Linked DNA regions of Mus musculus: regions 1, 3 and 4 are each reported to be linked to region 2. The links are microRNA targets in miRTarBase. Many come from high-throughput screens and were not tested one by one. Region 2 holds a microRNA gene; each other region holds the end of a gene's coding sequence.

Evidence for each region. The annotated mature microRNA mmu-miR-210-3p reads CUGUGCGUGUGACAGCGGCUGA and lies in region 2 at 1,802-1,823, shown strand. An mRNA with a match to its seed (bases 2 to 7 or 8) in the 3' UTR can be bound and repressed. Matches are read on the target gene's strand: a 7mer-m8 pairs with bases 2 to 8, a 7mer-A1 pairs with bases 2 to 7 and ends in A, and an 8mer does both.
Region 1: miRTarBase lists Acot2 as a target of mmu-miR-210-3p. Seed matches in the 3' UTR shown: 7mer-m8 at 3,049-3,055.
Region 3: the mRNA of Slco2a1 is a reported target of mmu-miR-210-3p. Seed matches in the 3' UTR shown: 7mer-A1 at 3,308-3,314.
Region 4: the mRNA of Mcidas is a reported target of mmu-miR-210-3p. Seed matches in the 3' UTR shown: 7mer-m8 at 1,019-1,025 and 7mer-m8 at 1,929-1,935.

Annotation. Positions count from the first base shown.
Region 1 is chr12:83,992,520-83,996,736 of GRCm38, reverse strand. It overlaps Acot2 (acyl-CoA thioesterase 2), which reads right to left. Exons shown (of 3, transcript NM_134188.3): 3 at 2,860-4,217. The coding sequence ends at 3,657. Among named protein-coding and RNA genes, the nearest start is that of Acot2, 6.8 kb to the right of the region's middle.
Region 2 is chr7:141,219,013-141,223,229 of GRCm38, reverse strand. Mir210 (microRNA 210) reads left to right here and starts at 1,737; the gene lies at 1,737-1,846.
Region 3 is chr9:103,085,150-103,089,366 of GRCm38, reverse strand. Slco2a1 (solute carrier organic anion transporter family, member 2a1) reads right to left here. Exons shown (of 14, transcript NM_033314.4): 14 at 1,102-3,608. The coding sequence ends at 3,488. Among named protein-coding and RNA genes, the nearest start is that of Rab6b, 25 kb to the left of the region's middle.
Region 4 is chr13:112,998,425-113,002,424 of GRCm38, forward strand. It overlaps Mcidas (multiciliate differentiation and DNA synthesis associated cell cycle protein), which reads left to right. Exons shown (of 7, transcript NM_001037914.3): 6 at 56-166; 7 at 326-1,970. The coding sequence ends at 760. Among named protein-coding and RNA genes, the nearest start is that of Mcidas, 6.6 kb to the left of the region's middle.

The DNA of each region.
Region 1 (4,217 bases), not on the chromosome of region 2:
CAATGGCAAGACTGAGGGTTTGTACTGAACCACGTTGATCGATCCGTCCTACCAGACGGAGCTCAACATTCTTAACCCGGGGACTTAGTTATGTTTAAATTGGGGGTGTGGTTTGAACAGCAATAAAATGTAGAACCTTTCTCACACACACACACACACACACAAAAAAGGAAAGAAAAAGAAAATATTCAAATCCTTCCTGTTTTGAAATACACTATGGAGTTTGGGGGTTGTATTAGTCAGTGTTCTGTTATTGTAAAAAGGCAGCATGACCACAGCAATTCTTATAAAAGAGCACGTTTAATTGGCGCATACTTATAGTTCCAGAGGCGTAGTCCATTATCATCATGGCAGGAGGCACGACCTCACACAGGCAGGGTGCTGGAGAAATAGCTGAGAGTTCTACACTTGGATCTGTAAGCAGCAGAAGAAGAGAGGAGACACTGGGCCTGGCTTGGGCTTTTGGAACTTCAAAGCTCACCCCCAGTGACATTATTCCTTTAATAAGACCACCTACTTCAAGAAGGCCACACCTCCTAATCCTTCTCAAGTAGTGCCACTCTGATGACTAAGCATTCAAATTTATGAGCCTATGGGGCCACTCTTATTCAAACCACCATAAGGGTATAATGGTAGATTCTATGCTTTGCTCGTACTGGGTTTGATCTCCAGCACCAGGTCTATAGAGATGACTCAGTGATTAAATACAGTGGCTGCTCTCCCAGAGGATCAGAGTTCAATTCCCAGCAACCACATTGCAGTTTATAATCATCTGTAAGTCAAGTTCCAGGGGAATCCAATGCCCTTTCTGCCCTTCACAGGTACCAGACATGCAGGTGGTGCACAGACATATGTGCAGGCAAAACACATAAAATAACAAAAATATTATCTCCAGCAACAACAACAAAAATCGATCTGTGCGATAGATACTGTGCTACAGAACCCAAGAATCTAGACTTCCACTGTACCCATAACCAGCCAGTCCTACTGTCCTCCCCTGCTAACCTTCCCAGCTTCTGCCACCTAATGTTTGAGTTTTGTCACTGTGACAGATGCTATGACCAAAAAGCACTTAGGGAGGAAAGGGTTTATTTGGCTAATGTGGAGAGCCGTGCCACGAGGTGCGTGCCGCCAGTAATCGCTGTGGAGAGCCGTGCCGAGAGCAATCACCATTATAAGATGGCGCTGGCCTCCGCTGTGCCTAACTAGTAAACAAGCCTTGTACGCAGGTGCGAGAGTGAACTCACTCCTAGTCACTCCTATTCTCGAGGTGTAATAGTGGGGTGATGGGCGAGCAACGAATCAGGAGCTGTCACGCCATATCAGGTGCTGAAATGTCACGCTGCAGGCTATAAAAACGGCGCCATTTTCCCGGTTTGGGGTCTTCCTGAAGAAGCAAGCAATAAAGCTTTTGCTGTGGAAGATTCCGGTTTGTTGCGTCTTTCTTGCCCGTCGAGTGGGACGCAAAAGGCTAACACTTCCAGGACACAGTCCAGCACTGAGCAGGCACTCAGGGCAGGACCCCGAAGCAGAAAGCCTGATGACTTTCAGGCTTATTAGAGGAATCTGCCTTGATCTCTGGCTCATGCTTACTGTGCTCTTAACTGAGCCACCTCTGCCCACCCCCCAGACCTGGGTCTTAGTTTCTGAAGGCTCTCATGCCATGCAACAGTTTGATTTTTGTTATTGTTGGTTTTTGTTTTGTTTTGTTTTTGTTTTTGTTTTTGATTTGGTTTGGTTTGGTTTGGTTTGGTTTGGTTTGGTTTGGTTTGGTTTGGTTTTTCGAGACAGGGTTTCTCTGTGTAGCCCTGGCTGTCCTGAAACTCACTTTGTAGACCAGGCTGGCCTCGAACTCAGAAATCCACCTGCCTCTGCCTCCCGAGTGCTGGGATTAAAGGTGTGCACCACCACGCCTGGCAACAGTTTGAATTTTTAAAAATGATTCATCTGTATACTGGGGGGCAGGCGTGTGCCATGGTGCCCGTGTGAAGGTCAGAGGACGAGTTGCTGGAATCAGTCCTCTCCTTCCACCAGGTGGGGTCCAGGGATTGAACTCATTTGTCAGGCTTGGTAGCCAGTCCCATTTCCCACTGAATCAGCTCATGCAACCCTTTTATTAAACATGGTTTAATTAAACATGGTTCAGAGGCTGCAGAGAAGGTTCAGCACTTACGAGCTCTCACAGAGGACCAGAGTTTGGTTCCTAGCACCCATATTAGGTAGCTCATAACCACCTGTAACTCCAACTCCAGGGGAACTGAAATCATGTGGCCTCTGTGGGCACCTGCACAGACACACACGGACACACATGTGATGAAAAATAATAACTCTGACTCGGGTTCTATAGCCGTCTCTTTACTGCCTGTCTTGTGTTATAGGGGATCAAGCATGAGCCTAGCAATGGGTAAAGAAATCCCTCCTCCTGTGCTGACCACTCTCTGACTGGCAGGTGGCTGTGGCCTAAATGTGCGGGAATGAGAGCGTTTGCTCACACACATCCTCTTCCCTGCCTCGAAGACAGGTCTGAAGGTTGGCACACATGGGATTCCTGGCTTCTGTTTCCTTCCCCAGCTGCTCTGCTGCCTCCTGGACTAAATGTTCATCCTCCCCTCATGTCACCATGACAGAGCTCAAAACACCAAGAGGTTCTCTTCCCAACATTGGTTTGCTTTGTAAAATTGATGTTCTTGTTGGATGTGTGCATAAAAAAAAAAAAAAAACCCAAACAAACAAAACCCCTTCTCTTCTTCGCTGCTGCTAGACGTGTGTTAAGTATCTGAACAGTCACCCAAAAGCCACTTCTGGAAGGATGACAAGAGTGGGAACACTGGCCCAAGAATTGAAGGAAGGACAACATAGTTTTGTCTATAATGAGCTAGTTTTTATTTTAATAAGAATATTTACACTTAAGGTTCCCCCTTAATTCATGACATAAAAGAATTCTGTTTTTTTTTTTTTTTTTTTTTTGGATAGGCACATTTTAAAATTACACATGTGGTGTGTGTGTGCGCGTGTGTGTGTGTGTGTGTGTGTGTGTGTGTGTGTGTGTGTGCGTGCGCGCGTACGCACACGCGCACAAGCACTTGTGTGTGTCAGAGGACAACTTGTCAGAGTTTGTTCTCTCCTTCTACCATGTAGACCCTGGGGGAAAAAAATCTTAAGTTGTCAGGCTTGGCAGAAAGCACCTTTACCACGGAGCCATCTCACCAGGTCCACAGGCACATTTTTATAAGAAAGTTTTAATTTCTTTGTCGTCTTACGGCACTGGGGAATGAATTCTGGGCACTATGGAAGAAAGACGAATGCATTACCACCAAGCTCTATATATCCTCAGTCCTTCATAGGCACTTATTATATTGAGAAAAAACATAAGCTGGGCGTGGCTTTACTCCCAGCACTTGGGAGGCAGAGGCAGGCCGATCTCTGAATTCAGGCCCAGCCTGGTCTCGGCCAAGGGTACACAGAGAAACCCTGTCTCAAAAAAAAAAAAAAAAAAAAAAAAGAAAAGAAAAAAAGAAAAAGAAAAAAGAAAAAAGAAAGAAACTTTAAAAAATTAGAATATGTTCAAATGAACTAACCTGAACTGACATTGTGATAATATATATGAGGTTTCCCCCAAACCATCAACTAATAGGTTATATTTTAGAGGACAGTCCCTAACTCTTGCTACCCAACTGTTTGTGGAAGAAAGTCTGGAGCTGCTGCCATGCGTCCACCTGGGCCACGGCATGAGCCCTGGGCTCCCCTCCAAAGGTGATGTTGGCACCCACCAGGAGGTGCATGCCAGCGCTGCACAGCGGGAAGTAAGGGGGCTCGATGTAATGCCCTGCTGCTGGGTAGCAGATGATCTGGGGCTTCTCCTTCCCGTGCGCCTGCAGGCGTTTGGAGATCTCATCAGCATAGAACTCGCTCTTCCAGTTGTGGTCGTCCTGACCTACGAGGAACAGGAAGGTCGTGTCAGACCTTTCCACGGGAATGAAGCTCTTCTTGTCTACCAGAGGGCTTTGCAGAGCTTCCACGACATCCAAGAGACCATCTTTGGTCATTTTGACTTGGTTTCTCAGAAGGGACACAGGGGGTATAGTCTCATCCTTGTAGGAGATGGTGTTCCCAACAGCAGCCACGGAGCCATTGATGACCACAGCAGCTGTGATGCCCTTCAGGAAGGAGGCCATAGCAAGGCCAAGTTCACCCCCTTTGGAAATCCCAAGCAGCCC
Region 2 (4,217 bases):
GAAACTTGCATCATATCCTCCTGTTCCTGCCTCTATTCAAGGTTATAGGGGTATAATCTCTCTGTTGTTTTAACAAGCGTCCATCAGGACTTCCAGCTTGATTTTTCAATTTCTGACCCTCTGTAGAAACCGAGTCAGCGCCTGGCTTCTCTGTGCTACATCCCTATGTGGCCACAATGCCCAACATTCTGCATATGGATTTGGCTTAGGGCCTTAGTGCTTTGCTGCGTAGGCTGAGTTTTTGGCAGCTGGCTGGCTCCAGCCCAGACTTTATAAGATTCAGGATATGTGGAGGTCAAAGAAGCAGGGGAGAGGGATTGAGGGGCAGGAGGCTGAGCTGAGGAGGCTGGACCCTGAGCCAAGGACCAGGGTATCTGAGGTGGACAAAGGTGGCCTTTGGAGTTGCCTGGAGCAAGGTTATCTCTGAGGATGGTGTGGAAGACTGGTTGAGGTAGACAGGAAAGAGAAAAGATGATCTCTGCCTCAGAAGCAAAAGAGCAGCTGCTGCATCTTGTTGAGTGGTTATGAGCTATATGCCCCATGATTCCTCCAAGGAACAACCAGGGGTGAGGGAGGTGTGTAGGGAAGGAGGTCTCTTCTGGCTGCACCTCCATCCCATTGCTTTGGATCTCCTCCGAGGAGTCCAATAACTGACGCTGGCACTTTTGCCTACTTTTCAAAAGACTGGGGCAAGCCCTCTGAGAGCCCAGAGCTCGGCAGGACTCTCCCTCCAGAGTAGGTCGCTTACAGGGCAAAGACAAATCTCACTGTAGATAAGGGATTCCCCAGGGCCAGACCCCTAGGATCTCCAGGCAAGTAAGAGACAACCCACTTCTCACAGCCAGATGGACACACATCTTTGAGGATCTATTGGGTCTGAAGAAAGGCAGGGGCGTACGTGCCTCCCGAGGGCATGGTGTCCCTGGCCTTCCAGACCATCCCTGGGTCACTGCCAGGACTACGTGTGCCTGGAGAGTTATGAGTTCCCGAAGGGGAGCAGTCCTTCCTTCGACTGAGTGGGGGAATAACCAGCCCGCCTAAACATCTGTCTGGGAGGCGGGGCTGCTGCTGCTTTGCCTCAAAGGGCCTGCCTTGTCCAGCTGTCTCATTGCTCTGGGCCAATGAAGCACTTCACTACCAGGGAGCAGTGCCAACTCCAGGCCCAGAGGCAGAGAGCCCGGGCCATACCACCGATCGAGGAAAAGGCATGCCTTGGGTTGTACCAACGCCCAATCACAGGGAGACACTGTCCAGCGAGGCCTCCCTGAAAGCCCCGCCCAGCAGGTGGCGGCCCCTCCCCAAGCCGACGTGCAGAAAGGAACGCGCCGGCCTCGCCCGCGAAGGGTTGCTCGGCGGCGGGCGGGGCGTGATGCCTCCCCCTCGTGTTCACTGGCTGCAGCCCTTCAGGGTGGGCCTTACTAGACCGGCTATTGGCTGCAAGATAGACTATTTGCATATGGGGCGGGGTAACTGAACCCGATTGGGGCCCGCCTTGGGTGTGAGTGTGGCCACTGCTGCCACTGAAGTTGATCCAAGAGCTGGCTATGGCCCTGCGCCGGGGTCGCAGGTGAAATAGAAGGGTTACAAGGTTGGAGGATGGGGGAGCACCTTCGAGGCTGCTTTTCTCAGGGGGATATGGGTATTGGGCGGGACAAGAGAGGAGTGGCTCTGTTGCCCAAGTTAGAGGAGATGAGGGCGGGGGCGGAGAGGAGGACCCCCCTCCACTTGCCCACCCGCCGGGGCAGTCCCTCCAGGCTCAGGACAGCCACTGCCCACCGCACACTGCGTTGCTCCGGACCCACTGTGCGTGTGACAGCGGCTGATCTGTCCCTGGGCAGCGCGAACCCCTGGCCCTGTGACCAGAGTCTGGGCGGCGGGCAAATGGTCCACTCTGGGGCGGAGGAAGGGCACCTGGATTCAGATAGACAGGGTGGTAGCAGGTCACTAGAAGACTGTACCTACAGACAGGCCTGCTTGTAGGAGCCCAGCTGAGACACGTTGGGCTGGGGGCTTCTCTGTCCTGCACCTGTGGGTCAGAGCTTGGGCCAGATACCCTCTTGGAGGGAACTTTCTTCTTAGGTGTATTAGGGTTCCAGGCTGTGCAGTCCCCAGAAGAGCCACTGTCAAAGTCATCAAGCCCAGAGACTCTCTGGGCAGGCACAGGTATGAACTTCAGCCAACAGGACCAAAACCTACAGGACCCACCTCCTGAGGGCCACCTCCAGGAAGACATTGGCAGCTGAATGCTTCTGCCTGGTTCTGCCACTTTCAGTACCATGGATCTCTCGATGGGCTCCTGGGACAGGCCTTTTCCCCAGGGCACTCCTGCTAGGTGTTCTCAAGTCCATGGAAAAGTGGAAAAGGATATCCAGGGAAGCTATAGGCTACAGGGCCAGGACATCTAGAGCCAGTCCAGTCCCTGGAGATGGAGGGGCAGGCTTAGTCCAGGTCTTTCTAGACTGGCACTGGTATTAAACTCAGAGTGCTCTGCAGATGGGGAGGGTCATGCAGCCTCTTGGGTTGAGAAACTATGAAGCTGACTCTTATTGTTGGAAAGCTACTTAGTGGGGAGATCCTCTGAACCAGGGTTCTTATGTCCACTTCTCTGCTGGAAATGAACAAGACCACTGTGACTAGGTGGGGGCCTAGCAAAGCCTGGCCCTGACCTCTGGCTGAATTGCCCAGACAAGGCTACCCCAACACTGACAACTGGTAAGGTCCTGACATCACTCAGCCAGGTCTTGCCCTGCCAGGGACCAGACATTTGTGGGCAGCTTGTCTGTTCTTTGCTTTAGCATCACACTGTTGTCTCCAAAGTCGTTACAAAATTCCAAAGTAAACTTTTCATTAATTCAAAGGCTTGCTTGGTGGTTCAAAACGGTCTAGCAACTGTTTGGAGAATGGGATTCTGTCCACTTGAATACAGCCACAGAGGAGCAGAGCTCTGTCAGCCTTTCCCCCTCAAAGCATAGTGGCCACTATGGAAGGCTTGGAAGATTCTTCAGTGCCACTGGGAACAGCATCCTGCAGACTACGCCTAGCCTGGGCAGGGGCCTCCAGAGGAACAAGCACTTTTCAGGACATAGGGAGCACTGGTGTGTGTTTGCTAGGAAACGTGACAGGCTCAAATGAGGAGGATACAGCTTAGCCCTGCCTAGCTCCCTGGGTGGGGTGGTCTCTGGGTACTGCATCTACTAGTCTGTGCTTAGTTTTGGGAGAGGAACCATAATGGGCTTAGAACCAGTGCCAAGAAGTCTATTCAAGTCTCTGGAGTGTGGGTAGGGCTTCAGGAGGGGGTAGCATTGGGTTCCTCAGACCCCTGAATTTCCACCAAGGATTCATTCCTAGTGGCTTTTGCACTCTAGGATCCATTCTGTGTGACCTTTTGCTTGACCCTGCCTGCCTGGGGCCACAGGTTAGGCAGGTCTAGGCTACAGCAGGCTCAGGCTGGAATGCAGACAGGAGCATTCTGGCCTGTTGACACCAGATCAGGAGCCTCCCTTTGTGGCCTAGCCTCTCCCCTTCCCTGTTTCCTGCTCTAGGCAAGAATATGGTCTGCTGGGCAATGGCAGTACACACCTTTAACCCAGCACCAGGAAGGTAGAGGCAGGTGGATCCAGCCCGGTCTATACTGTGAGTTACAGAATAGCCAGGGCCACACAGAGAAAAAGGAAAGGAAAGAAAGAAAATATGGTCTTACTTATGCCTCACAGGAGTGAGCTCCTGGTGGCCCTAACCACTAAGCAGCTTTCTTGAACTCACATGGATGGCTTCCTTGCTCCTCCATTGCAGGCTTTTCACATCCCCTTTCTGTCTGACCCAGAAGAAATGAGGAACAACTGAACCTAGCTCAGGAGCCAGCTGGAGAGAAAGCTGAGCTGGTCCCAAGTGTCCTCATCAATACGGTGTAAAGACACTCATAATCTATGGTGTACCCATCTTGTCACCGATGGTTCTGATCCTCACAAAAATCTCCAGCCCCAGGACCTAGGAGTATATGGCCTGCTGGGTAACCAAGGTTTTGGAAGAGTTCAGTATCAGCTCAAGAGCCAGAGTAGAAGTGAGCCGGGCTGTGGAAGCATCCTTGCCCCAATGTCAAACCTGGAGGCTAACAGTCAGGCTTCATACTCACCCTAAGAAGAGAGGGACAGCCCTACCCTTTCAATGTCCATATCTACCTTGGGGCTAACAAAGTTTTCTAGGGAAAATTCCCTGGG
Region 3 (4,217 bases), not on the chromosome of region 2:
CCTCCCTTCTTTCTCTCTCTCTCTCTCTCTCTCTCTCTTTCTTTCTTTCTCTTTTTTTAAGACAAGGTCTCAATATGTAGCCCTGGCTGTCCTGGAACTCATCATGTAGATCAGGCTGGTCTCGAACTCTCACACACCCAGTTGCCTCTGCCTCCCAAGTACGGGGATTAAAGGCATGCTCCACATGCCTAGGATTCTACATTTTCAGACATACTAGTGTGGCTCCCATCATAGGCTGGGACGAGGGTCCTGCCAGAGGCTTTGGACTCAAGGACACTTGGTAGATATCGCTCCCTTCCAAAGGATGGCAAACCCTTTATTTCCTGTTTCTTTGGTTTCTTCTTTGTGAGGCTGGATGGTGCATTTCCTAGGTTGGGTGGGGCAGCAGAGAATGATAGCTCTGGCTGTGCCCAGGAATGGAACTCTGTCCCCGAGCCAGACTCTACAGGGTTCCTAAGCTCCACAGAGAAGCAAGGAGAAGAGATCAAAGACCTACTATGACCTTCTTACATATAAAGGCACCTTTGGTGGTTAATCCTTACGGTCAATTTGCCTGGATTTGGCTCTATGCATGGGTGACCCACATCACACAGGGCTCAGGGGTTACCTTCATCTTCCTGGAAGGTGGAATTTCAGGACTCCTTTTACAGTCACAGAAAGGGGCCTCAGGCTTTGGGAAGGGTGTTCCTGCATTTTTTGTTTCTTTTGTTTTTCAAGACAGGGCTCTCTGTGTAGCCTGGCTCTCTGTGTAGCCCTGGCTGTCCTGGAACTCACTCTGTAGACCAGGCTGGCCTCGAACTCAGAAATCCACCTGCCTCTGCCTCCCAAGGGCTGGGATTAAAGATGTGCACCACCACTGCTCGGCTGTGTTCCTGCATTTTAAAAAGATGTATGAGTACTCTATCTGCATGTACACCTGCACACCAGAAGAGGGCATCAGATCCCATTACAGATGGCTGTGAGCCACCATGTGGTTGCTGGGAATTGAACTCAAGACTTCTGGAAGAGCAGCCAGTGCTCTTAACCACTGAGCCATCTCTCCAGCCCAGGTGTTCCTGTATTTTAACAGCAATCTTGAGCATGATACACTCATGGAAGTCTGTGACAATTTGCTCTTTAATTGGAAAAAAAAAAGTGAGATCTTTAAAGCCCCTCTGGCATTTGAGAGGCAAGATTTGCTGAATAGTAGTAAATGATCAATTATGACTGTGATATTCATGGCTATAGTGTTTGTGACTGAGCCCACTTCTGGATATGAACTCAAGGACGGTGACTGGGCCTCCCAAGAGCATGAGTCTTTGACATTGGTCTGCACAGAAAGCACAAGGCCCCACACAGCAACCAGCAATGCCTGGGACCTGCTCAGCACCAGGCAGGTGGCTTGAGAGTAACATGGTCTCTAACACCCTTGGCTACAGGCCTCTAAAGTTTAAAGCATGGCTACTTCTTTGTCTAGAAGGCACAAATTCTGTCTGTTCTCTGATAGACCCAGGACAGCACAAATTTACAACCAACTTACACCCAGAACAGAATTATAATATATTAATAGCAATATAATAGAATAAAGACTTGTGGGGACAGCTGATCTTCCGGGAACGGAAGGTTGACGTTCATTGTTTGCGAGATTGGTGGAAGGCTATGCCTTCAGAATCTGGTTAAACTGCAGTGAGTAAGCCCAGGGTTAGTTGCAGAGAATCAGGTTCCAAGCAGAACCGTTCCACATGCTGAAACTGGCCCGTGAGGTTGTGTGGAGCCTCCTCCTTAATAAGATCTGTGGAAATGAGCCCGGTGGCTTCAGAAAGAACACTGCCAGTAACAAAGGCTCCCTGAAGGCTTCAGTCTCACAGGACCTTTGCCACGCCGACATAAACCATTTGGCTTCTCACCATATAAGGCATTTCTGAAAGGCACTTAAATGTCACATAGGGCAATGTCAATTGCCTAGCTGCTTCGGGGACACGGTGAGCCAGATCTCCAGCTCAGGCACACAGTCAACCTGCTGGAGCCTCAGGGTGTGCATGGGCAGTCAGACCAGGATCTTTTCCGCCAGCCTTTTTGGTTCTGGATATGCTTGGCAAGTGTGTGAGCATGTTCTTGCTGCCCACCGAGCGCTCTCTGGGAGCAATCCCAATGCGAATGGAGGTAAGGTTTTCCAGGGGAGCTCTCAGAGAACCATACAGCATCCCTGACAAACACCAAGCCAGTTCTCTGATAAACAGAATCGTTGAGAAAAGGCCTCATTCCTGGGCCTCTGCCTTTGCCTCTCCACTGCATGGCAGTGGTGGCCCCCAGCCCAGGCCCACAGAAGGAGCCCACCTCCACATCCAGAGAGGTAGTGAGGAAAAGCTGAGAAAATGCCAACGAAGACAATGTGTTTGCAAGCGAGTCAACCCGGCTACTCTCTTTGTGGGCTGCAACTTGCCATCTGGCACAGTGACAGGTGGCATCCACTCTGCTCCATTCCTTGGTCTGACTGCATCTCAGGATCACACCCCCCATTCACCGCCTTTACTCCTCTGCACATGAGCTGAAGTCCAGACAGCAAAGCCCATGTGAGGTCACTCTTTTGTTTCCGGGGCATGGTAAAGATGGCTATTTGCGTCTCTGAAGGGGGAAAGACCTTGTCTCTACTGTGAGGGTGGGAGACTGGGTCCTCCTTACATGGGCTCCTTACATGGGCTTTGTTGGTTTGAAAGGCAGAAGGAAGCACATGCTGACCTGAGGGTAGGCCTCAGGTTCCTAGGAACAGTGCTTGGATGACCTAGCCTTGCTGGTTCCTTCGTTCCTGCTCTGACACCAGGGAGTAGTATACAGAGAGGGTTATACTTCCCAAAGTGGTGGTTTCCAAATCAGCCTTGAGGGCAGAAAGTGGGAAAGGAAAGGGAGATAGGTCCCTCCTGGGTTCCATGCTAGACTGAAGCCAGATGCAAAGCGGCCACAGCCAAGCTCCCTTAGCCCAGTGGTAGCTGCTAAGAAACAACCACCTGCTGCTCCCCTGCCTCTCTGTTGGGTGTGGGCAGAGACAGAGGAGCTGGGCTGCCTGGCACGGAAGTCAAGGCTCCCATTTCTCCCACCACTGAAGTGTTCCTGAGAGACTGGTGAGAACAGAGGCTGCCTTAGTACGGACAGTGGAAGACCCAGGGCTGAGGAGAGGATCCCTTCCAAGGACTCTGAGAAACTAGACCCTTCAGTCCAGCGCTCATTCAGCTCAGGACCCTTCAGGCCCTAAGAACCATGCGGGAGACTTTAGGAGGAAGAGGCCGGTGAGACAAGGGGTGAGTGAACTAACTCTCTCTCTCTCTCTCTTTTGTGCGCGCACTGGCGCATGTGTGTGTATGTGTGTATGTGTGTGTGTGTGTGTGTGCGCAAGAGAGAGGGAGAGAGAGAGGGAAGGAGGAGGAAGGCATGCTAACATTAGTTAATATAGGTAGGTGTGGAGGGGTAGGATATCCAGTCTCTGGGGCAGGGCAGTAGTCCCAGCTGAAGGTCAGATGAGGCCCGAGGCATTCTCCTGCAGACTGTATTCCCTGTTCTTCTTCACCCTCCAGCTGATGAAGAAGAGCAGCAGTGTGCCCAAGACCTTGTAGATTACCTGTAGGCCCAGGTACCTATGAGGCAGGAAGAGACAGGTATGGTGAGGCCCAGGGGCAGCGGGAAGATGATCTTTGTTTTCACAGTTCACTAGAAGCTGTGAAGATCGTTACTCAGGTGACGAGCTGTCACTTCTCAGGTGGTCACTGTGGAGAGACACATGACGCTAGTGATCCTCTGCTCTCCTGTGACATCACTGATGGCCAGAGGTGACACTACTGTCCCAGCTGTCTCCAGAGGGTCTGTATCTTTCAGCTGCCTCTCTGCTGGCCTTCTCTAACCTGGCCTTTTCTATCCGTCCTCAGTATTTCTAGCCCCTGCAGGCCCACCTTCTCCACCATTTCTAGATGATGGAACGGCAGCAACAGAAGAGATGGCTGCATTTGGCTCACAGGCATAGGTTGGACTCCTGCTTCTTTGGACCTCTCCTGGGCGCCGTGCTGTGTTCCCCATTCTCTGAGCAGTGGAGAGTGACTGGTATCTTTTCCATATTCGAAATCTCTCTCAGGCTCCAGGTACACCTTTAACTTTGGTGACCATTGTCTGCTGCTATGAGTAGGCTTGTGAGGGACAGTACTTTGGGGGACACCTCAAAGCAGACCCTGTGTCTCCTCACCTGAATGGCT
Region 4 (4,000 bases), not on the chromosome of region 2:
TCCTGAAGAGCAGACCCAGCACTGTGGCTTCTGCTTGATGCTGGATCTCCTGCAGCTGCACGTGACGCTGACGCAGAAGCAGGAGGAGATAGCCTCGCTCCGGGAGAGGAACGTGCAGCTGAAAGAACTCGCCAGCCGGACCCGGCACCTGGCCTCAGTGCTGGATGTAAGTGGACCGGCGCGCGGGACACGGTCGGAACTGTGACAGTGAGCTTGTGTTGGGGCCCCTGGGTGTCCCTCGAGTAGCGCGCACCTGACTCTTTTTTTTCCAGCGCGGCTCCAGGCGAGTCCCCCTGGCTCCAGGGCTCTCCCTCATCTTTCACAGAAGCTGATGATCACGCAGTCTCCTGCCGAGCCCTTCCAGATCAAGGCAACAACGAAAAGGAGCCTGGAGGAGCTGTTCTGTGCTGCGGGGCAAGCAGGGCAGGGTTGCGCGGAAGTGGACGCCATCCTCAGAGACATCTCCCAGCGCTGCGAGGAAGCCCTGCACAATCGTGACCCTAAGCGGCCCAGGCTGCAGCCAGAGCCAGACAGCAAGGACTGCAGCTCCAGGAACCTCCACGGCGCCTTCCGAGGACTGCGCACCGACTGCAGCGCCAGCTCGGTGAATCTGAGTCACAGTGAGCTGGAGGAAGGCGGCTCCTTCAGCACGCCCATCCGCAGCCACAGTACCATCCGCACCCTGGCTTTCCCCCAGGGCAAAGCCTTCACCATCCGGACAGTCACCGGTGGTTACAAATTCCGCTGGGTCCCCAGCTGATCTGGGATGTGGCTTCCCCTAAAATACTGCCCTGTGTAACAGCAGAGAGAAGCGTCTGCAAGCAAGTGGGCATAGCTAGAAATGTTTCCCACATCTGGTTCCCAGAATTCTCTGCAAGCAAACGCTACTCGGAAACTTTATTATATATTTTTTTTTTTTTTCAGAAACAGAAGTGTCTTGGTACCTGTGCAATGAAAAGTTCTGCTCCGAAGCCCCATATACTGCTTGCTTTTGCACGGTGAAATTGCGTGTATACACACGCACACCTGCGGCTAAGCACACGCCACAGTCAAACTTAGATGTATTTATTTTTTAGCGCTTTGTTTGTTTGAGGCAGGTCCAGGAGGCACATAGAGCAGCTGGACACAGACTTGCTATTATGATTGCTTCTGTTTCCTTCTGCTTCCATCTCCTGAGTGCTGGGTTAGAGGTGCTCACCGCCATATTTGACTGTTTTAGCCTTTTTGTAAGAAGAGAGAACAGTGCAAAGGAATGATGGGGGGTTCCACTAGAGAGGAATTATCCAATCACAGCCATTTAAAGGCTTGGGATTCAGAACCCCGGTATCTGGGTGTTTTGGCACATCACCCAATTCCCCTCTGTCCTCAGAGTACACCTACCTCCTAGCTGTGTTAACTACTGGAAAATGCTATTTCAGTTGGAAAAAACAAAAACAAACAAAAAACCACCACCACCAAAACTCCGGAAACAACTTGGCAGTTGTGGAGCAAGCTCACACAAGGATGCAGTGGTCATCCCAGCACTTGGGAGGCAGAGGCAGGCGGATCTCTGAGTTCCAGGCCAGCCTGGTCTACAGAGTGAGTTCCAGGACAGCCAAAGCTATGCAGAGAAACCCTGTCTTAAATAGCAAAGAAACAAAACCAAGCAAAGCTACACAATTAGGCAAATGCTGATGCAGGATAGGTGCTAAACACAGTTGTTTGAAATAATCATCCTATGATTTTGTAAGAGTTGGTTTGCGTGCTTGCTGCTTTTGGAGAGGGCTTGGACTTCAGAACCCAGCCAGCATCCATATCAATGGCTCAAATGGGAAAGAAACTCCAGTCCTGGGGTGGGGGTGTGGTTATCTGACATCATCCTCTTCTGGTTTCTGTGGGCATCTGTATACTCCGGAGCTACACACACACACACACACACACACACACACACGCACAGGCACAGTCACATAAGTAAAATTCTTTACAAAAGGATTTATGGTAATGTCTCAATGTATTCAGCTTTATCAGTGCAAACAGAACCACCTCCAAACCAACTTAGTTAAGAAGAAAGGCTGGTTGTTTTAAGCAAGTGGTCTGTACTCCGCAAACTGGGGGCCCCTCACCATATTTCACATTACATGACTAGTTCTTGTAAGCAAAATGTAGTGACCTTCCCTCAATTTTTCTCTCCCTATTGTTTGTGGTTCTCTTCCCACCCCACACTCTGTTCTGAAATCACACAAATGGAGGACGTCCTGTGCGATTTCTCTCAACCTCCACATGCTCGTTCTGAGGGTTCTTCCTGCTCCTGGGGCTGGGCTGGGCAGGCCTCCAGATGTACTGCACCACAGTGCATAGCTGGCTCTTCAGGCTGAGTGCACAGATCAGGTAGCAGGTGGGTTGGTTAAGGCAGCAAGACCTGCTCCTCCAGTTTGCCGTGTGTACTGTTATCTGTACTTAAATAGCCATTTCGAAACAAAAAAAATTGATAAAATAGACCATGTTTCCTCATATTTTGCCTAACAAATGGACTGAAAACGTGGGTTGTTCAGCTCCCCCCCCCCCATAGGCTCAAATATGCAGTTAGCACAGGTCAAGATCAAACAAAACAAGCTTCAAAATAAAAAACAAATCCTTTTAAATCTGTCACAACGAACAATGGCTCTCCTGCTCTCTGATACTCGTAATGCATTACCTTCAGTGGCCATAAACTACAGACAGTGTATGTAAGTTTCTTTTATGCCCTGTGCGTAGATTTTAAATAATCACCTTGCTATCACCTTTCACTTTACAGTTCTATAACTGCCATGCTAGTGGCCAGCAGCTCCATTTCCTGCTATTTTAAAAAGTACATATTTTATTTGTTTTTAGAAATTGATATTTATACAATGTATTTTTTATCAAATTCACTTCCTATTCCTCCCTAACTCCACTGAGATCCACCCCCACTCCTTACCCCATTTTAACTCTGTCTTCCTCCTCCTCTTCTATAAAACCCATCAAGTCCAATTATCTTTCATTCTTGTGGGAAAAAAAAGCTCTCTTTGGAACAATTGGCACCAGGGACCAACTTATCATCAGTTAACAGTAGAATCTAGAAACTAGTCTTCTAACATATTTATTGAAAACTGATGGCAATCTCTTTATCTCACATTCTAAGAAAACAATCAAAGAGCAGAATATGTAATTTCTTTTCTAGGCAGAGATACATATGTGACAAACAATTCAAGTGCTGGCAAGGACATGAAAAAGGACAAGGGGGTGGTCTCAGCTCAGGCTGCAGTACAGGATAGGCGGGGAGCACGAGCAACAAATGTTTCTGTTTTATTTTGTTAGATTGTTTTTTTTTAAGATTTATTTATTACTATATCTAAGTACACTATAGCTCTCTTCAGACACATCAGAAGAGGGCATCAGGTCTCATTACGGATGGTTGTGAGCCATCATGTGGTTGCTGGGATTTGAACTCAGGACCTTAGAAAGAGCAGTCAGTGCTCTTAACCGCTGAGCCATCTAAACAGATATTTCACAGTTCTGGGTCTGAAAGTTCAAGATCAAGGTGGTTCCACAGGCTCCCTTTCTTGGTTTGAAGATCATCATTTGCTCACTGGAAAGATCACAGGGCTGCGAGAGTTCCAGTCTTTTCCTAGAAGAGCTCTAACCCCACTACTGATGTTACACCACACCGCTCCCTCCTCCCAATCTCCAAATACAATCACACTGGGAACTAAGACTTACTTAAACATAGGAATTTGGGGGAGGCCTAGGTATTGAGTCCACAGCAGATGGCGATTTGGGGAAGACTGGGATGGTGCTATTTTAGATGAGGTGGTCTGGTCATAAAAGATTCCTCTAATAAGGTAATATTGGAGGGCTTCTGTTATGGATCAGTCTGTACAGTGTTTGTCTGGCAAGCTTGGTTGGGGTCAGCGATTTGGTTCCCAGATCTGCCATCAAATCGTAACAAGAGACAACTTCAGCAGAGACCGGAGTAAGCTTGCGAGTGAACGGTATGCATATC